Ovis aries: one gene and its partner. The protein of the gene in region 1 purifies or fractionates together with the protein of each later gene. This does not show direct contact. Links are inferred from orthologs where the notes say so. Each region holds a gene or a part of one and is shown in the gene's direction. Other genes may lie near its edges.

The links. Proteins that work in one complex are often made in the same cells at the same time.
Region 2: the proteins of RPTOR (region 1) and MLST8 purify together in Homo sapiens (affinity purification with western blotting; 15 studies listed by BioGRID and IntAct, with this or other methods). This does not show direct contact. The link is inferred for Ovis aries from reciprocal best matches to the Homo sapiens genes RPTOR and MLST8.

Annotation. Positions count from the first base shown.
Region 1 is NC_056064.1:51,493,339-51,503,517, reverse strand, and holds the start of RPTOR (regulatory-associated protein of mTOR), read left to right. Parts: upstream 1-4,554; 5' UTR 4,555-5,331; coding exon 5,332-5,493; intron 5,494-10,179. UniProt on the Homo sapiens protein: Component of the mechanistic target of rapamycin complex 1 (mTORC1), an evolutionarily conserved central nutrient sensor that stimulates anabolic reactions and macromolecule biosynthesis to promote cellular biomass generation and growth.
Region 2 is NC_056077.1:2,250,302-2,260,816, forward strand, and holds MLST8 (target of rapamycin complex subunit LST8), read left to right. Parts: upstream 1-5,389; 5' UTR 5,390-5,430; intron 5,431-5,950; 5' UTR 5,951-6,023; coding exon 6,024-6,152; intron 6,153-6,280; coding exon 6,281-6,332; intron 6,333-6,411; coding exon 6,412-6,574; intron 6,575-6,874; coding exon 6,875-6,950; intron 6,951-7,035; coding exon 7,036-7,188; intron 7,189-8,056; coding exon 8,057-8,181; intron 8,182-8,324; coding exon 8,325-8,488; intron 8,489-8,577; coding exon 8,578-8,696; 3' UTR 8,697-9,150; downstream 9,151-10,515. Other genes in the region: BRICD5 (BRICHOS domain-containing protein 5), read right to left, coding at 9,151-9,501, 9,716-9,817, 9,895-10,050, 10,243-10,515.

The DNA of each region.
Region 1 (10,179 bases):
GAATACCTCGGCTGTGATGGTCTTGTGTTTTGAGAGAAGATGAGCCAACCGCTGAGCTTGGAGGCTGTGAAAACCCAGCCTCCTTGGTTCTTCCTGGGCAATGTGCTGTGTTCCCGAGGCATCTGTTCAGACCCTCTCCCTGCCCTGGCTGTTCTCCCAAATTTGCCCCTAGATTTACCCCTGACCTGTGTTGTATTTGACCCACACACTCAGGTTTTATTTATATTTGTTCTTTGCACATTTTGCAGTTTCTTTGGCTTCTGGTTGCCAAATAATCAGAGATTTAGGGTTTTAAGGGGTCTTCTGCTCCACCTGCATATTATAAGACAAGATCCCTCGTTTCTGGGCTTCCCAGGTGGTGCTGGTGGTAAAGAACCCACCTGCCCTTGCTGGAGACATAAGAGACACGAATTCGATCCCTGGATCAGAAAGATCCCCTGGAGGGGGAAATGGCAACCTACTCTAGTATTCTTGCCTGGAGAATCCATGGACAGAGGGTGAGTCTGGTGGGCTACAGTCTATAGGGTCGCCAAGAGTCGGACATGACTGAAGCAACTCGGCACATAGCACTCCCCTTTCTGTACCTGAAGGTCAAAGGTTATTGATTGTCTCACATCAGTGGTGGTGGTTTAGCTGCTACGTTTCACATCAGAACTGGCCCTAAAAGCCCTTTCTCTCCCAGTTCCACATTGCAGCTTGATGTTCACTCCCAGCGGGATATCATCAACACCCTCTCCCCTTCCACAGCTTGAATCAAATCAGGTTTCACACATTTTTTGAGATTTGTAGAACTTGTTTTCATGATTAAAGTATCTTATTTAGAGGCTTTGTGGCAAGCAGGAGATGTCCTTGTTTGTGAGGAACTGGAGACATTGGGAACCCGAACTGCAGGCCCAAGTGGCCGCGGATCACACGCCGCGGTAATGAGATCACCCAGGTGAGAAACGTTAGCCCTTGAATTTCCAGCCTGTCATTAGTCATCGACGTTCCCTGCCTTCCAGAAACCTGGAGTCAAGCTTCCAAATGCTTATCTGGGACTCGAATAGAGTCTCTCATGACAACACTGGGAAGAGGTTTCTTTTAAATGTCATGATGCTGTGAAATGATTCAAGCCCCTTCCTGAACCTTCAGGTTGGGAGTTGGGCTTTCACCAGCCCCTCTCTGGTTTTTACATGAATAACGGAATTTTGATGCTGAAGTGTCCTTGGAGGTTCACCTTTAAGTTTCTCTTGCCTGGGACTTCACTGGTGGTCCAGTGATTAAGACTCTGTGTTTCCAAAGCAAGGGGCGTGGGTTCGATCCCTCCTGGAGGAACTAAAATCCTGCAAGCTGTGAGACCCCAAAATAAAAGTTTTCTTGTCTCAGATGTGAAGACTGTGGACAGAGGAGGGCAGAGACTGGAAATTCTGTAGGAATTGGTGGTGGGCTGGGGACAGAATGTGTGTATCAAATCATCAGTCCAGTACATGGACCTCAAATGTCTCTAGGTTCTGGGGTCACATTTGTGAAACACTAGAGGGTGTTTTGTTATGTAGTTCGGGGGAGAGGATGAGTCTTGTTCTGATGTGTTAGATGAAAGATTGGATAATTGTTTCATTTATTTGGGGCTTCCCACTTGGAGAAGGTGATGGCACCCCACTCCAGTACTCTTGCCTGGCAAATCCCATGGACAGAGGAGCCTGGTAGGCTGTAGTCCATGAGGTCGCTAAGAGTTGGACATGACTGAACGACTGCCCTTTCACTTTTCACTTTCATGCATTGGAGAAGGAAATGGCAACCCACTCCGGTGTTCTTGCCTGGAGAATCCCAGGGATGGGGGAGCCTCGTGGGCTGCCGTCTATGGGGTCACACAGAGTCGGACACGACTGAAGTGACTTAGCAGCAGCAGGTGGCACTAGTGGTAAATAACCCGCCTGCCAATGCAGGAGACGTAAGAAACAGGGGATCCTGCGGAAGATCCCTGGGGGAGGGCATGGCAACCCACCCCAATTCAGTACAAACAGTTATTGAAGGTCCACCACTGGGCTGGAATGGAATCACTGGAGGAGACTATTGCTTGATTTCCTTAGCGAGAATATTACCCAGTGTCCCCACATCTGACTGATTTTAAATTATTGTCAGGGTTATCTGATTAAAAAATAGAGATTCTGAATCTCTGTCCTCCCTCTCCCCAAGATTCAGTACATCTGAGCTGGGACTCAGGAAAATTAATTTTAAAATCATTACCCAGGTAATTCTGACAACCTGCCATGTTTGGGTTCCACGGGCTCCATTACTACCTTCACTGAGAATGTCAGACAAGCTGAGTGGATTTCCCCAGGTGACATACTTCATAGGTCAGGAAGCTGATTCCCACACAGATTAAGCAGCTTTCCCATGTCACAGGCTTCCCTGATAGCTCAGTTGGTAAAGAATCCACCTGCAATGCAGGAAACCCCAATCGAGTCCTGAGTCTGGAAGATCCACTGGAGAAGGGATAGGCTTACAGTATTCTTGGGCTTCCCTTGTGGCTCAGCTTGTAAAGAGTCAGCCCGCAATGCAGGAGACCTGGGTTCAATGCCTGGGTTGGGAAGATCCCCTGGAGAAGAAAATGGCTACCCACTCTAGTATTCTGGCCTGGAGAATTCCATGGACTGTAGTCCATGGGGTTGCAGAGTCGGACATGACTGAGTGACTTTCACTGATGCCCATGTCACAGGGCTAGTTGGGAATGAATGGGGTTAATGCTGCCACTCTCCTGTAGCTGAGGCTTTCTGAAAGAGTGCCTGGGGACCTTGGCCTTCACTGTTGTATGCTGCAGGGTGACAGGCAGAGCTGGAGTTACACTGCCCTCAGGTGAGAGTGGGATCTTCTCAGGACCCTGCAGTCCTGAAGCCTCTGCTGATGACAGTGGGGGACATTTTGCCAACACTGATAGCAAGGAAAAAGGAAGATATTAACCTCCATCTGTGTTCTGGTGAATTTGTCTTGAGTTTTCATGGGAGAATGGGGCTCATGAGGATGTAATAACTGAACAAATGTTTAGAATGGTAATGTTTTAATCCAAGAATTTTAATTAAATGCCTGCTATGTGCTAGGTGAGAATGATTTTGGATTGCACTATTTACTCAGATGTTGAAAGGAACACAAATGCTGTTTGGATTTTGGTTAAATCAGTTATCTTTAAAAAATTATTATTTTTTATTATCTTTTATTATCTATTATTATTTTATTATCTTTAATAAATTATTATTTGTGGACTGTTTTAAAAGTGTTTATTGAATTTGTTACAATACTGTTTCTGTTGTTTATGTTCTGGTATTTTGGCCATTTGGCATGTGGCTCTTAGCTCCCGAAGCATGGATTGAACTTGCACCCCCTCCATTGGAAGACAAAATCTTAACCACTGGACCCCCAGGGAAATACCCGCCCTCAGGATTTTGATATGGATTTTGACATCGTGTCAAAGCCCTAGGAAACCATACTGAGAAAGAGGGTCTCTTTGAGAGTCCAGCCTGACTCTTTTAGATTAACAAAGCACGCAGGGCTGCTGGATTTCCCTCTGGTATATACCCATCATTGCTGGCATTGTACTGGACACTCACTGTATACCAGACTCCTACACAGGTTAATTTTACCCTTCAAGGTGGGTATTATATAAACCCAGATTATAGTTGAAGGAAGTGAGGCTGAACTAGTTAAGGAATGGATCAATGTTGTCACAGGCATGGAAAGTGATACAGTTGAGATGCAGATACACGTGGGCCTTACCTCAAAGCCTAAATGCAGAGGGGAAGACCAGCCTCCCTGCCGATCTTCCTGCACCCCCCACCCTCCACTACTTTATCTAATGGTTACATGTGTGTCTCACTAGGCACTATGTTTATTGAAGACAGGCACTGCATGCCCCTTGGGGTTTATATTCCCTCTGCATGGGACACATTCTCACACACTGTAAACACGCAATGTTTACGGAATAGAGCAATAAAGTAGTGCAGGAGGCGATCCACGCATAGAGATCTATAGCTTTTAGCTGTTTGTAATAGCTTTTAGCTGTTTGTAAGTAAAGCTACATTCAAATAAGAATAAACCGCTCAGAAAATAAATGGATTAAACAAAAATTACAATTGTCAAAATTAATTTTTTCGCTGTGTTCCTTAAAAATAAGAGTCTGATTGATACTGTGGAGGATAGTACGTCTCCTCCCAACCTCGCGTACGATACTATATTCCTTTGTAATATTATCAATGATTCTTTCGGAAGCTTTTGCTTTTCCAAAATCTGGAAAAAACAAGGGGTCGATTCCTTTAATTTCAGAAGGATGTAGGTCTACTTGTAATAATAAAGATTTTTTCAAAATTAATTAAATGACACAGTTTCATTTATAGGACAGACTTTGATGTGACGCATCTGTTGAACGAAAAGCTATAAACTAGCAAGCTGAATTGTGGTAACGATGGTAACAAGGGGGCGGAGACTTCTCTCGCTGCCTCTTGGGAAGCGCGGCAAGGCAGAACGCTCTGAGGAAGTTTGGCCTGTTACCCACGCCGTAGATCGCGCTGCATGCTGGGTCTTGGCAATATGGCGTCCTCCTTGATGTGCTGATGAGCGGAGTTTCACTGTAGCTTGAAACCAGAGGACAAAACTCCCCAAACCCAATAAGCCCACATTACCCGTCTTTTCCGCGGCTCTGTGTAGCCTGTCTCTCAAGACTCGTTCTCAGACGGGCGAGAGCCATAGGGCTGGAGGCCAGGACCGGCCAGGCCGCGCGGACCCAGTGCTGAGGAGCCGGCTGCGGGCGAGCACGATGGGCCGGTCCTGGCTCTGGTTGCAGCAGCTCCTGCAAGTGCGCGACCCGCAGGGCTGAGAGTGGCTGCAGGAGACCCAAGGCGCTCTGAACCTCATCCCCTCGGCCGAAGACCTCAGCCCAGTCGGCGAACCGGCATCAAGAGCGGGCGGCCTGCCTGTCCTCTGATCGGCTGAGACGTTGGAGGCCGAGAGCAGGGTCATCGTGAGGCCTGGAGTCTCGCACGCCTTTGACAGCTCCGCTCGCAGCCCCTCTGGGAACTGACGGCCTCAGAAGCAGCCGGTGGCTTGGGAACTGGGGGCGTGTGTGTCTGTGCGGAGCCTCTTGGTTCCCTCATTTCCCACCCCCTCCGACTTCCCGCGCAGAGTTAGAAGAATCTCAGACTTTTTGCCTGAGTGAGGGTCTCTCCACCCTCTCCACCCATTTCTTTTTCTACCTCCCCCTTTTCTGTTTCTTATTTCACCCATTCTGGTACACACTAGTTTTCAAGGCTGGAGGTTCTCGAGCGTTTGCTGCCCAGGACTCCCCCACCCCCTCCCCCGCTCATGGAGTCCGAGATGCTGCAGTCGCCTCTCTTGGGACTCGGGGAGGAAGATGAAGCTGACCTTACAGACTGGAACCTGCCTTTGGCTTTTATGAAAAAGAGGCACTGTGAGAAAATCGAAGGCTCCAAATCCTTAGCTCAGAGCTGGAGGATGAAGGATCGGGTAAGTGGATAGCGCCGGCGCCCCTTGGACTTGAGTAGTTTTTTCAAGAAAGTTCAGAGCCAGAAGTATGTCCTTGGTAGAGCGGCGATATTCTTTCCCAGACACATGTTGCAGGTCAACTAAAAAGTACAAATCATTTCAGACTCCAGTTTTGGTTGTAAAGGGAAAAGGCTGTTTTGGTTAGTAGTTATTCACTGGATAGTGTTAATTAGATTCAAAGGGAGTTCTAATTCAGACAATGAAAGTTACACAAGTTAGAAAATACAGCGTTGCAAGTATTTGCATGCTTTTTTGGATATACTTAGTACTGTTAACACTTAGAGGAAAGACAACTTGGGATGTGGTATTTGTCCCCACATGGTAGGTCTACTTTTAGTGACTAGATTACTTTTTTTTTTTGATCCAAGCTAGGTGGAATGCAGAAGTCTAGTATAGTATGCTAGAAAACAAGATTACTGGCAAATGTTCAGCTAGTAACAGATTAATGCAAAGTTATTTTAAAGTTACAATGAACTTTACCAAAGCCTTCTAAGCAATTTGTCTTGAATCTAGGCTTTGCTCCTTTTATGTCATGTCCTGTTACTATTACTTGGAGGCAGAATTTCTCTAATAGTAGAGTATGAGGGGTTGGAACTTGGGTCTAGTAGTGGTTCCTTATGGTGTTGGAATGTGGATAGTGACCCAGGCTGCTAGTAGGAAAGAAAGTCAATTTTGTTTAACTACCATCTATTTCCTGGCCTCCAGAGCAAAAGGGTGGGACTATGTCACCCATACATATTTATAATTTGTCTTTTTGTGTTTTGTTTTCTGCTTCAAGACTGTATTTATTTATTTGAACTTTTTAGCCTAAGAAGGGTAGTTGATATTATCATGTACTGTGCTTGCTCTGGGCTGATGGATATGTTTATATAAGATGGTTGTTTTCAGTATATGATGTTGAACATATATACGATTTCCCTTACGGTAATTTTAGTTATTCAGTCACTAGGAACTAGTGCTTCAGTTGTTATTTGGCGTACCTTCAAAAGGTTTGGAGAAGGAAATGGCACTCCATTATTCTTGCCTGGAAAATCCCGTGGACAGAGGAGTCTGGTGGGCTACAGCCCATGAGATTACAAAGAGTCATACAGGACTGAGCTACTAAGCATGCCCAAAAGGTCAGGAAAATCTGTTTCATCCAAAAGTAGTTTAGGGAGTAACAGAGATGGTCATTGGAAAAGATTGTATAAAGTCTGTCTTATTCAGTTTTAGTACTAATTATGTGGTTTAAAGCTTTTGTGGTTGCTGTCCATATATGAAAAGATTTATTCTAAAAAGTAACTGTAATCTTTTTTCATTCTAATTAGGGCTTTTTTTTTCTTTTGAAAAGGGCTTTCTTTTTCTTAAACTGTTAAACATGTTTAAACCATGCTTAAACTGTTCAAAACTGATTAATGGATTTATTTTTGACCTTTTATTTAAAACAATTTGTGAATGATCAACATTCCCTGATAAGCTCCTCATAGGTTATTAAGAGTAAGAAAAGTTTTGGGAGTCTTGAGTAGTTACCGAGATTGTGACTTAGAGCTAGCTGAGAAAGTATCCAGCCTTTGCAAGTTGTTTAATAAAGAAAAAATATCAGCAGCTAACATTTTTAGTTGTTTCTGAGAACTTGGCATCTGGCCATCCTTATAGTCTCTTTTTCCGGTTAGACCCTGAGGGCGCTTTTTCAGTACACTCTACAGGATGAAGGGTGCCAATCCAAATGATGCTGAGAATTGAAAGGTAGTCTAAAAAAGCCGGGTAGAAGGAGAATAATGGCGCAGATTCAGAGATCAGTGGCAGCTGAGGTTTGACTCGTTTCTGACGCTCTGGAGGGTGGGATCAGTGGGGCTCTGAAGAGCACAGGGTGCAGCTCAAGGGGCAGCTGAGCCTGGCCAGGTCTCCCTTTGTCTTTCTTTTCTTTGACGAGCCAGAAAACTTTTTTTTGTAATGTGAAGTTTTCCAATTTTAAATTATTGGAATGACTTCAAATGTTATAAACCATGAAGCAGTGTATCTGTGGGGCTGGCTCTGGCCAAGGGGTACCTGTATGTGATTTCAAGATTCTAGGACTGTTGAGCACATGGGCATCCAGGCCAGACTGCCTCCCTGTGCTGGGGTGGCCTCCAGCAGTCTGATGGTGCAGCACTGTCATAAAGCAGCAGGTGTGGGTCCAGCTGTCCTGCATGCGGACCAATGTAGGCCACTTCTGGTGCACCACCGGTTGCCCTAAATGCAGACTCAGTCATTGCTTTTTCCTGTGATCCACAGGCAAGTCCACATACTTTTACTGTATATGTATTAGCAATTTCTTGCTGGTGTTCTATTTAGTGCAGTTGTTAAGTGTTCCTAAAATTGACAACTTTACCAAAGTTGAGTAACAACTCCAAGTTTTCTGCCGCTCGGCATTTGACATCCTCACAAAATTACAGTGCACTCTTGTTTGGAATTCCTGCTATCTTGGTGTTAAATCATTTCTGGTTTTCAGATGCCACTATTGTTGCATTTTAATTACTAAGTTACTGTTAGTTCAATACTGTTATTATCAGATTATCAAGTTGGTTTTTTGGTTACTTCAGTGTGTAGTAAATGTGTATATACATTGATGGCATTTTTGATTTGTGATTTTCAAATAATTAGACATATGAATTATAGTTCAAAAATGAATCATTCATAGACCTATGGCTAAAACAGATTTGTGTAAAACTTCCCCATTTGGGTTTTACTGTGATACTTCATCGTTATCACAAGAGTTCATTTTCTAGAAAGTGGGCATGTGGATATATTTGGTCTCAGATGAATCTTTACTTTGTGTGTGTGGGATGGAGTCCGGGAACATGAGAGCTACTGCTCCGAAAGAAAACCATCAGCAGACACACTGTACCTGCAAGTGGGCAAGATATAGCTATAAAATGATGAAACCATTTCCCAAACCAGTCTTTAGACTTAGTCACCTTGCTTTGTAGCCAAACTTGAATAAACCATGGAGGAGGCTGAGTAGATTACATTAAACTGTTATGTGGACAGTCAGATATTTCGGTTGTCTTTGGAGCAGGGCTATGTAGTAATACTTTACAACTCTTTCTTACTCCCTGTTTCTTCACTTTGAATCCTCTCAATCTCTTCCATTTAGATTCCCTTCATGCCACTCAGACTGTCCTTCTACACGGTGATTATTTGTTGCTAAACCTAAATGTCACTTCTCTGTATCTTTTCAACTTCTTGGCAGCATTCCAGGGTGGACCACTCCCTCCTTCATAAAGCTTTTCCTTCACTTGCATCTATGTCTTCCTGGAACTCCAGGTTTTCCTCTGAGGTCACTGATTGGTCCTCCTCAGATTCCTTTGCTGGGTGACAGCAGAGTGTGCAGTACCTGGGAACTTGATCTTGGAGGTCTCTTTATTCTGTATGCCCCTTGCTAGCTGACCTCATCTAGTCTCATGGTTCTATGTGCCGTCTACATGCCTTGACTCCTGTCTCAGATGCCTGGCTGCCTGCTTTGCCTGGGTTTTCTCCATCACAACATGCTGCCATCACCACCCACTCAGTTGTTTCAAGCTCTACATCTGGAATTTATTTGTAATTATTTCCTCTTCCTCTCCTCTTTGTACAATCCGTTTCATCAGTAGGACCTGTCAGCTTTGCCTGCAGAGTGTATTCTGTATTGGACTACCTCATTTTGTCTCCACTGCTGTGAGCCCAGTCCAAGCAATTACCATGTTTCATCTGGACAGCTAGAATCATGTCCTGACTGGTCTCCTTGTGTCTTCTCTTGCCCTACAGTTTACTCTTAAAAAATTTGTTCTTTCATTTATTTTTGGTTGTGCTGGATCTTCTTTGCTGTGTGCAGGACTGGTTGTGATGAGCAGGGGCTACTCTTTGTTGCGGTGCACAGGCTTCTCATTTTGATGTCTTCTCTTGTTGGGGCACACGGGCTCTAGGGCATTCAGGCTTCAGTATGGCGATGCAGCATGTGGAATCTTCTGGACCAGGAATGGAACCGATGTCCCCTGCATTGGCAGGTGGATCCTTAACACTGGACCACCAGGGAGGTTCGACAACTTGTTCTTCATATAGTGGCCAGAGGGATCTTGTGAAAGTGTACGTCAGATCCCGTCACTTCCTTACTAGGCCTCTCCCTGGCTTCCTAGTACTTGGAGTGGAACAGAGAAGTCACCCTGGTTCACAAAGCTTCATAATCTGGCCACGCCTGCCTTTTCTGCTTCTTGAATGGAAAGGCCTGGAATGCTCTTCCATCTCACCTTTGCACACTTGGCTCCTTCTTGTGGTTTATAGCCAGCGTCTAGGTCACTTTCTCAAAGACCTTCCCTGATCACCCCATCTCAAGCAGCTCCCCAGTGGCTCATGTTCTCTCTTTATGTCTCTGATACTTTTCTTCATACTCCACGCCCAGAAGTTAGCTTTTTATCGTAAAGCAAAGACCTTGTCTCTGCTGTCATGAAGGATGGTGCTTGGCACACAGTAGCGTTTCAGTGCAAAGGTACTGATGAGGGGCTTCCCTGGTGGCTCAGTGATGAGGAATCTGCCTGCCAACGCAGGAGATGTGGGTTTGATTCCTGATCTGGAAAGATCCCACATGCCGTGGAGCCACAAGCCCGAGTGCCACAACTATGGAGCCTGGGCTCTGGAGCACCCAAGTGGCAG
Region 2 (10,515 bases), on another chromosome or scaffold:
AGATGGTTAGATGGCACATCAACTCTATGAATGTGAGTTGAGTTTGAGCAAACTCCGGGAGATGGTAAAGCGTAGGGAAACCCGGCGTACTGCAGTTCATGGGGTTGCAGAGTCTGTAGCAAACCACTCTGGTCTGAGCCTAAGATTTTCAGGGCCTAGGGCAGGAGTATGAGCAGAGGCCCACACACCAAATGTCTAGGAATTTAAACATTAGAAGTCGTGCTAATAAGATGTTAAATAAAATATGTTCTACCATCCTTCCTTGACAAATACACCTTCATCATACCTGAAAGGCCAAGTCCTAGTTTAGAATGATCACATAGCTCTGGAAAATGAACTGGCCCTGCCTCCAGCTGCCTCGCCTCCAATCTCTGCCCACCTCCACGCTAGACAACTAACAGGTAGCTGATAGACCTGGGAGTGGGCAACTTGCTGTGTGGCCCATCATCCTTTCAGGACAGACCTGGGAAGAGAGCTGACAGATTCTGCTAGATTCGTTCTGATAGGTGAGGCTAATGCCCTAGGAGGAATCAGGCATTCTAGATCCGCTACCAACCAGCCCAGAGAACCCAGGACAAGCTCCCTGCTCTCAGCTTTCCCATCTGTAAAATGGGCCAGTAGTTGTGCCCACAGTCCACGGCTGATGGGAGGGTCCACCTGGAAACAGAGATGTGAACCTTCCTGGGGTACCCCCATCCCAGGGATGGGGGCGACAGAGCGGGCCATCCACTTTGGCCAGGGATAGGAGGATACAGAGGCGTGGGACCTGGGCAGCCCTCCAGGAAGTCGGGCCTGGGAGGACGATCCCAGGAGGAGGGGCCGCTGAACCAGCAGAATTGCCGAGGCTCAGCCTGGAGTGAAGCGGCTGCCTTACCGCAGCCTGGGCTGGCCCCCTGCCCAGCTGCACAGCAACCTCTCCCCTCCCCTGGCCGCAGCACAAGCCCTGCTCCTGCCCACCAACTGTATGTCCTGCCAGGGGCTCCCTGGTGCCCCCCAGCCCTCCAGGGCCCTGAGGTCCAGCCCCTTATGTAAAAAATGGTGATGGTGAACGTCCCCTCCCGGTGGACTGCTGGGAGCGTGAAGTCTGAGAGCTACCACGGTTTCTATCATTCTCAAAGATGCCGCCTCTGTACAGTGCTCAGCTGATGCTTAGTACATGGAAGGGATCCTCAGCTATGGGTCGAGTCTCCCTTTTCCGCCCAGCAGGGATGCTGGAGCTACTCAGGCAGGACAGGGAGCCTGGCCTGGTCTCTCAGTTACCCCCTAGGCATGGCTCATATGCAGCCCTCCCCCCAGTGCCAAGTCACTTCAGTCATGTCCAACTCTGTACGATCCCGTGGACTGTAGCCTGCCAGGCTCCTCTGCCCATGGGATTCTCCAGGCAAAAAGACTGGAGTAGGTTGCCATGTCCTCCTCCAGGGGATCTTCCTGACCCAGGGATCGAACTCGTGTCTCTTATGTCTCCTGCATTGGCAAGGGGCTTCTTTACCCCTGGTGTCACCTGGGAAGCCCCCCACCGAGTCCTCACAAAAATGCTCAGGACTCAGACACCTGGCTGTGTCCCCCAGCCCTCTCCTGAGCCCGCCTCTCTCCCACACTCAGGCTCTCAGGCTTTATGCTGCTCTGGATATCCTTCAGGTATTCCCAGGCCTGCATATCCATCTGCCACTCCCCGGAGCTGCCCTGGGGAGCACCTGTACTTCAAGAGGAAGATAAGCATGTTTGTGGGGTGGGTGTGCCCGCATGCAGTCGCCCAGCCAGAAGGGGCAAGGTCAGGGTGTAGCTGAGCCCAGTGGGGTGGGTTCTGCCGCGTTCTAACCACGTGCCCTGGGATGTGTGACTCTACATCTGTGAGTCTCGGGGGGTTTCAATTTAATTTATTTTTGGCTGTCTTGGGTCTTCATCTCAGAGCAGGCTTTCTCTAGTTGCAGTGAGCGGGGGCTACTCTCTAGTTACAGTGCCGGGCTTCTCATTGCAGTGGCTTCTTTTGTTGAAGAGCATGGGCTCTAGGGTATGTGGGCTCAGTAGTTTTGTTGCTCCGTGGCATGTGGGATCTTCCTGGATTGGGATCGAACTCACGTCTCCTGAGTTGGCAGGTGGATTACCACTGAGCTACCAAGGAAGCCCCAAGCCTCAGTTTTCTCACCTACCAAATGGGAGTGGTTCCTCCTTGGCAGGGTTATTGCGAAGACCCAATGCAGAATGTGGGTAAAAGGCTCAGCCCAGTTTGGCGGTTCCTCAAAAACTGAAACGTGGAATGACAAGACGCAGCAGCCCCACTGCTACTATATACTCGAGCAAAATCAAAACGGGTACTCAGAAGTACTTGAACAGAAACATTCATTGCAAGCATTATTTGTACTAGCTAAAACGTGGAAACCATCTCATCAAGTGTCCATCAATGAATGGAAAAACGGATAAATGAAATATGGTCCATCCATACAATGAAATATTGTTCAGCCATAAAAAGGAATGAAGTACTAATACAGGCGTCCCTTGAGGCTCAGCTGGTAAAGCACCACCTACAATGCAGGAGACTTGGGTTCAATCCCTGGGTTGGGAAGATCCCCTGGAGAAGGGAAAGGCTACCCACTCCAGTATTCTGGCCTGGAGAATTCCATGGAGTGTATAGTCCATGGGGTTGCAAAGAGTCGGTCACAACTGAGCGACTTTCACTTTCACTGACACAGGCTACAACCTGGATGAACCTAGAAAATGTTATGCCCAGTGAAAGAAACCAAACACAAAAGGCCATATATTGTATGACTTCATTGCTATGAACTGTCCAGAAGAGGTAAATCCATGGAGTCAGGAAGCGGATCACTGGCTGCCAGGGGCTGAGGGGAGGTGGGGTGGGGGATGGGGAGTGAGTGCCTAACGGGTGGTGGGGGAGGAGGGGTTCTTTTGGAATGATGGGAATGTTCTGGAACTAGACAGAAGTGGTGGTTGCACAACATTAAGTGCCACTGAATTGTTCACTTAAAAATGGCAACGTTCATGTAATGTGAATTTCACCTCAATTCAAACAAAACATTCGGTATAGCCCCTTCATACAGAATAAGCTCTCAAAGCTATGAAAGGTGCTAAAAAAATCAGAAGTTCAGCAGGTAAAGAGGCAGAGATGACACATCCTAGGTGTGGGCAAGGGTTCAAAGAGAGGGTGCAGTGAATTCTGAGACTGCCGTTCACTCGTGGCTTGTGCAGTGGAGAGGAGAAAGCTGCAGGGTTGGCAGGGGCTGGGCCCAGGAGTCTGAAGGGTGATGGGTGACACTTGCAGGATTCTTACAAGGTTTAGGCTTAGGATTTTTTTTTAGTTAAAAATATTTATTTATGTTTGGCTGCATCAGGTCTTAGTTGTGGCATGTAAGCTCACTAGCTGTAAGCTTAGTACCTGCAATGCGTGGGCTTAGTTGCCCTGCGGCATGTGGGATCTTGGCTCCCCGACCAGGGATTGAACTCACATCCCCTGCATTAGGAAGAAGGCAATGGCAACCCACTCCAGTACTCTTGCCTGGAAAACCCCATGGACAGAGCAGCCTGGCGGGCTGCAGACCATGGGGTCGCAAAGAGTTGGACAGGACTGAGCGACTTCACTTTCACTTTTCACTTTCCTGCACTGGAGAAGGAAATGGCAACCCACTGTAGTGTTCTTGCCTGAAGAATCCCAGGGACGGCGAAGCCTGGTGGGCTGCCATTTCTGGGGTCGCACAGAGTCGGACACGACTGAAGCGACTTAGCAGCAGGAGCAGTCCCTGCATTAGATGGTATATTCTTAACCACTGGATCACCAGGGAAGTCCTCAGTCTTAGGTATACAGAAGACCACTCTATAATGTGAAGGACAGCTTGGAGGGGGCAGGAGAAGGGTGATGGGGAAGCTGCTCCTGAGAGGGGGTGGTGGTCCATGGGATCCTGTCTGGCTGTCACTTATGGGTGGGCACCACACACAGAAGAGAAAGCCTTTAGGGGCAGGTCTATCATGAACTGTCTTGGCCATGGGAAGCAGAGGGGTCTGTGGGGCCCTTGATGGACAATGTCAAACAGGGAGCTGGCTGTGAGCTGGAGACAGGGAAGGAAGGACCCGGAGCAAGGAAGGTACTGAAATCCCTGGAGAGTGGGCAGGAGCCCCAGGGACAGGGTGGACACAGGATCTCTGGAGGCTGCCAGCCTTGAGGGGAAGGCAGAGAAAGAGAATGAAAGCGGGGGGTAAGAAGCTAGCAACAGTCACAGGAGCTTTCTAGGAGCAGTGCTGTCAGCCACTGTGTAGACAGACGTAGCAAGATGCATGAGAAAAGTATGTGCTGCGTTTGGCAGTGTGAGATGGCCAGTGACCTTGTGAAACTCTCACTGGAGAGCTGGGAGTAAAACATGACAGCTGACAGCGAGTCAAGCTGCTAGTGAGAAGTGAGGCTGGATTTCTGAAAGGGTGCCGTCTGGAAGGATGGTGTGGAAATGCTGAGGGAGGGACTTCCCTGGCAGTCCAGGGGTTCAGGCTTGGTGCTTCCACTGCAGTGGACACAGGTTCAATCCCTGGTCGGGGAACTAAGATCCCGCATGCCACATGGTGCACAGACAAAAAATTAAAGAAAGACAAGAAAAAGAAACGCTGACAGGAAGGAAAGAGGGAAGATTCAGGGAGGAAGGTTGCCGGGACCAGGGCCTGGGTGGATAGGCAGGGGACATGGCCTTGGTCAAGGGGCCAGAGGAAGGAAAAGGGGTGCAGCTCAATTTAGAAGCCTGGTGGGAAGATGCCCTGGGAGAGGCTGTCGCAAGATTCTTTTTATTTTTTTTCTGAGGCCACGTGTGTAGAATGTGGGAAGGCTGGATGGAAGAGAAGCCGCGAGGGACCCCAGTAATGGACGGGTCACTGGGATTAGTGAAGGGACCTGAGGGTCCGATGGGTCTGCACAGGCCTGACAGGGCCCAGACTAGGGGTTGCCTGATGTAGCAAATAAAACTACAGGACACCTAACCACACTTGAATTTCACGCAAGCAACGTAGAACTTTTTAGTATAAGTATATCCCGTGCAATATTTAGGCTGTACTCAACAAAACACGTTGCTTACCTGAAATCAAATGCAACTGGATGTCCTGTAAATTACCTGGGAATCCTAGTGGGCACCAGACGGATGGGGGGGGGGGGAGGAGGATGGTACCATCCAGCCTAGGGAACCGCTCTCGGGAGGGTGGGGTCCCCGAGAGGGGAAAAGGCTGGGGTCGCTGCTTTCGTCCCGGGGCCTGTACCGCTTCTTGCCAGGAGACAGGAGCCTTCTACCCCAGGGCTTCAGTCTCGTCCCCGCCACCCCCTTCCCTCGCGCCCCTTGGTGTCGCCCTACTAGCCCATCGATAACTCGATGCTCTGCCTTTATCGACCTGCTCCGGCTCCGCTAGCCGTCCTGGGCCGCGGCGGAGCGGGGAGCCGCCTGAAAGGTACGGGGGGCGCGGGACGAGGGCTGGAAGGCGACATCCAGGGGCCGGGAGAGCGCGCCCGGGGGGCGCTGGCTCCGCGGGACAGAGTCAGGGCGGTCGGCGGAGCGCAGGGAAGCTCGAGGGTCCAGCCAGGGAGCTCCGCCACGCCGCCCCACAGGGCCCGCCGCAGGCCCACTACGCACGCGCGGTCGCCGCGCTCAGGCTTTGCTCGCGGGCCAGTGCGCAGTCCTGCGCACGCGCGGCCCGCCCCTGCGGTACCGCGGCGCCCGCGGCGCGACTGCCCCCTGCAGGCCGCTGGTGGGAGGGCGTTCCGGCGGCGGCTCTCGGGGCGGGGGACGGAGGCAGCGGCTCGGAGCGCGGAGCTGTCCCTTGCCGGTTGCCCTGAACCTCTCCGCGCCTCGGTTTTCTCCGTGTCTAAAATGGGGATGATTTCATTATTCCCCAGCACCGAGTAATCTGCTGTAACGTACTTAGGACGTAGGGTATTCTCTAAACACTGCACTCCCTATCTCTGCTCTAGATGCTCTGATCTCTGGCCCCTGCGGGTCAGACCTAGTGCCCTGTGTCGCTCGGAGCCCTTCGGCAGCCACACCATGAATACGTCTCCAGGCACAGTGGGCAGTGACCCCGTCATCTTGGCCACTGCAGGCTATGACCACACGGTGCGGTTCTGGCAGGCCCACAGCGGGATCTGTACGCGAACTGTGCAGCACCAGGACTCCGTATCCTCCGCTGGGGCGATGGGGCGGGTGGTGCCGGACAGGATGCCCGGTGGGAAGGACGCGGCCCTGAACCCGCCGGGGTGGAGGCCTTGGAGGCCCCTGTTGGTCACCCTCCTTAACAGACCCAGCAGGTGAACGCGCTGGAGATCACACCCGACCGCACCATGATTGCAGCTGCAGGTACCCTGCCCTCCACCCCAACCCCTGGTTTCTCCTAGGTCCGTCGGCACAGCCTCACTTGTTTGGTCTCTGCTCCTAGGTTACCAGCACATTCGCATGTATGACCTCAACTCCAATAACCCCAACCCCATCATCAGTTACGATGGGGTCAACAAGAACGTCGCGTCGGTGGGCTTCCACGAGGATGGGCGCTGGATGTACACGGGCGGGGAGGACTGCACCGCCCGCATCTGGGACCTCAGGTGTGGGCACGGGGGGTGGGTGGGTGGGGAGCAGCTTGCTGCCCAGGTGGGTAGGGTGAGGGCCAGCCCAGGAGACTGTCTATGCAGGTGACTTCTTGAAGGCAGGTGAGGAAAGCAGGTAGGGCAGGGAGGCAGACCCACAAAGACCCCCTCCCCCCCACCCCGAGCAGATCCCTAGCCTGATCCCACAGAGGGGTCTGGAATGAGCTGTACCAAAGAGCAAAGGAAAGGGTCTCTCGGGGAGGAGGGGGGCACCGACGGCCACGCACCACGGACGGGGTGTGTCCCCCCATCTCGAAGGTCCCGGAACCTGCAGTGTCAGCGAATCTTCCAGGTGAATGCGCCGATTAACTGTGTGTGCCTGCACCCCAACCAGGTGAGGGGGCCGCCTGAGGCTGGGCATCCTGGGGCTCTGGAGGGCAGGGGTGCTGCCCGGCCTCACCTCCCTGACACCTCCTCAGGCGGAGCTCATCGTGGGTGACCAAAGTGGCGCCATCCACATCTGGGACTTGAAAACCGACCACAATGAGCAGCTGATCCCGGAGCCAGAGGTCTCCATCACGTCCGCCCACATCGACCCAGACGCCAGCTACATGGCTGCTGTCAATAGCACTGTGAGCCCCGGGGAGAGGGTGCAGCTCGGTGCCCTGTTCTTTAGAACCCTGTTCCTGCAGGTGGGCTCATGCCCCATGTGTCCCTGTGGCCTCTCCCCTCTCCTCCCGAGTCCTGCTTCCCCAGCCGGGGCTCCAGCTCTGACCTAGCCCCTAGAGCCAGAACCCTGGGGGTCATGCCCAGTGCAGCCTCTCGCCGCCGGCCATGGCCCATGCGGCAGACGGGGCCTCTCCACCTCCATTCTTTCCAGTTGTCCACTTCCCTCTCTCCTCTTGGTTCCAGTTTCCCTCCTCTCTCCTGACAGTGGCTGGAGCCTCTCTGACTTCCTTCCCCTGTGACATCTCCCTGTCCTTCAGCAGGAGCAGCCTGACCACCTCCTTCTCCTAGGTTAACACTGAGATGCCCCGGGCTCCTTACCAGGGCCTCAGGACCCTGCCATCTGACCCCTGGGCTCCTATCCAGCCTCCTTTTCTCCCTTTAATGTCCATTTGATCTCAGCGAATCAGTTATCCCTCGACATCTCCAAACTGTCCACTCCCAAGCCTTTGCCCTGAAGTTCCCTGTGTCTGGCTGCCCTCATCCTGTCTTGTTCTGCACATTCCTGTTGGCCAGGCGCATCCTTCAGGAAGGCCAGGCGCATCCTTCAGGAAGGCCAGGCATGACCTCCTGCCCTCAGCCCATCAGGCGTGGCCCTTGCTCAGGGCCGGGTCTCCCAGGTGCTCCTTGTCACATATCCCCGGCCCCCAGGTCCTTGTGCGTAGCCGCAGTGCTGGGTGGCAGCCCCTGGATCTAGGCCTTGCTGCTGGGTATCCTCCCCGACCCATCAGACTGGAGGCCCCGGCCTCCTGTGACTTCCCTCCTCCCTGGCAGGGGAACTGCTATGTCTGGAACTTGACCGGAGGCATTGGCGATGAGGTGACACAGCTCATCCCCAAGACCAAGATCCCGGCGCACACCCGCTATGCCCTGCAGTGCCGCTTCAGCCCCGACTCCACGTGTGTGCAGGGCTGGGGGGCAGGAGGTGGTGTGCCTGGGGCTGGGGGCCTGATGCTTTGGGGTCTGCTTGGAGGACAGCACAGGAGTGCGGGATGGGAGCGGCTGCTGATGGCACCCCTGCCGTGCTCACCCCCGCCCCCAGGCTCCTCGCCACCTGCTCCGCTGACCAGACATGCAAGATCTGGAGGACGTCCAACTTCTCCCTGATGACGGAGCTGAGCATCAAGAGCAGCAACCCCGGAGAATCATCTCGGGGCTGGATGTGGGGTTGCGCTTTCTCGGGGGACTCGCAGTACATCGTCACCGGTGGGCCCCGCCGCCCTGCCCCCCGCCCCACTGGCCCGGCCCGGGGCTGCTCCCCGAACCCCATCCGTGCTCTCCCTCCCTCCCTGCAGCTTCCTCTGACAACCTGGCCCGGCTCTGGTGCGTGGAGACAGGCGAGATCAAGAGAGAGTACGGCGGCCACCAGAAAGCCGTCGTGTGCTTGGCCTTCAATGACAGCGTGCTGGGCTAGCCTTGTTCCTGGGCACTGCAGGCAGCCGTCCAGGCGGCACCAGCCGGGTGTGTCTGTCCAACTGCCCAGGTCAACGTGACACCCATGGGCTGGCTGCTTCATCCGAGGCTTGCTGGACTGGACTGAGTGACCCTGGCCCCCCTGGCCAGGCCAGTCCACTCCGGGACTTTCTCAGCCCTGGCTGCTTATGTGGATGCAGCAGGGCTCATTCCTTCAGAAACTCTTGACCCACGGGACCTAGAGCCACCAAGGGCGTCTGAGGCTGGCGCTTACCCCCAGCTGGGGCCTCCTCAGCCGCCCGCCCCCCCGCCCCCAACGCCAGCCCTGTTTTGCGTCCCCAAGGCCACAGAGAATACCGTCACGGCCAGGTGGAGTGGTTTATTATCCCTGCCACCCTCTGTGGACTGGTGACAGGGTCGGCCAGGTGACCGGCCTGTGGGACCAGGCTGGGGGCTCAGTCCGGGAGGTAATAAAAGCAGACGGACACACAGATGTTGCTCGGGAAGCAGATGTCGATACATAGGTAGATCAGCCGCTGCCTCTGGGGCCCTGGAGGAGGGGTCTCTGTGAACCCCAAAGGACCCTTTGCGCTCCGTCCCCAGACTGTCCTAAGGGAGCCCAGGCCCCTCCGCACAGCCTGCCCCAACTTACCCTCTGCACGTCGGGCCCAGTAAATGGGAGTCTTGGCACAAAGGTGCTGCACGGGAGCCCCGACCTGGGCAGGGTCCACCTCTTGGCTCCCAAGCACTGCCAGCAGCTCTTGGGCGTAGTGGGTGTCCTGGCTGGGGCTTTGCGTCGCCTGGAGCTGCAGAGAAGGATGCTTGCGCTGCTTCTGGCGGGGTGGGGCCCATGCACCCCAGGACATGCTGGTGGCATGCCAGCCCTGCCCCGGCTCTTGTCAGCACCCTCGTCCACAGGAAGACAGAGCTTCTGTTCCCCTGAAACTGGAGCCCCAGCCCGCCCTGGGCCCAGGCTGCACACAGGACCCTTTGTCCGGCCCCTGGCTGGAGGCTCCTCACCTGAGAGGTGTTCACCAGCAGCTGCAGAGTCTCACGGTCTCGGGGTTCCATCAGGCGCAGGAAGCAGGCCTGGTGCTCCGAGGGCCGGTAACAGACGCAGCCCTGGGCAGGCAGGCAGGTGAGGCAGGGCCACCTGAACCCCCCCCCGCCCCCACACCCCGCCCTGCCAGTCCACTCACGCTCTGCCCGTCGAATAGCACTGCCCAGCTGCGGTTGCTCTGGGCTGGAGTCACCCAGATGGTTGCCACGTTCTGAGCCACATCTACCTGCTCAGTTTGGTTGGACCGGGGCATGCCTGGGCTCGGGAGGCTCAGGCGGAGAGTCTGCAGAGGGGCCTGAGTGGGAGGCGGGAGGTCGCTGGCCAGGCTGGGGCTGCCTCAACACACCCCCAGCCCAGCTACAGGGCTCTGACCCACCACTCCTCTGGGTTTCTGATGTCTGCTCCCTGCCCTGGCCCCACTGGAGGGCTGGTCTCCTCCTCCTCCCGACTGTCTGAGCCTCTGCCTGGGTCCTGAGAAGGGCCTCACCTGAGGAGGGCTGTGGCTGAAACCAAGGAGCCCTCCAACCACAGCAGCGGCGGTGACCAGCGCCAGCAGCAGCAGCAGCAGCAGGCCAGGAGCTCTCCAGCGCCCGTGGCAGGGCTTGGTCTCCACCTGGAGGCACATCGGAGTCAGTAGGGCCCAGAGTGGAGGCCAGGCAGTGGGCTCCTTCAGGGGCGATAGAGGCTGAGGAAGTTCAGGAGACAGATGCTCTTCCTGCCCTGCCAGGCAGCCCTGGGCCTCTGTCCCCAAGAGGGTGTG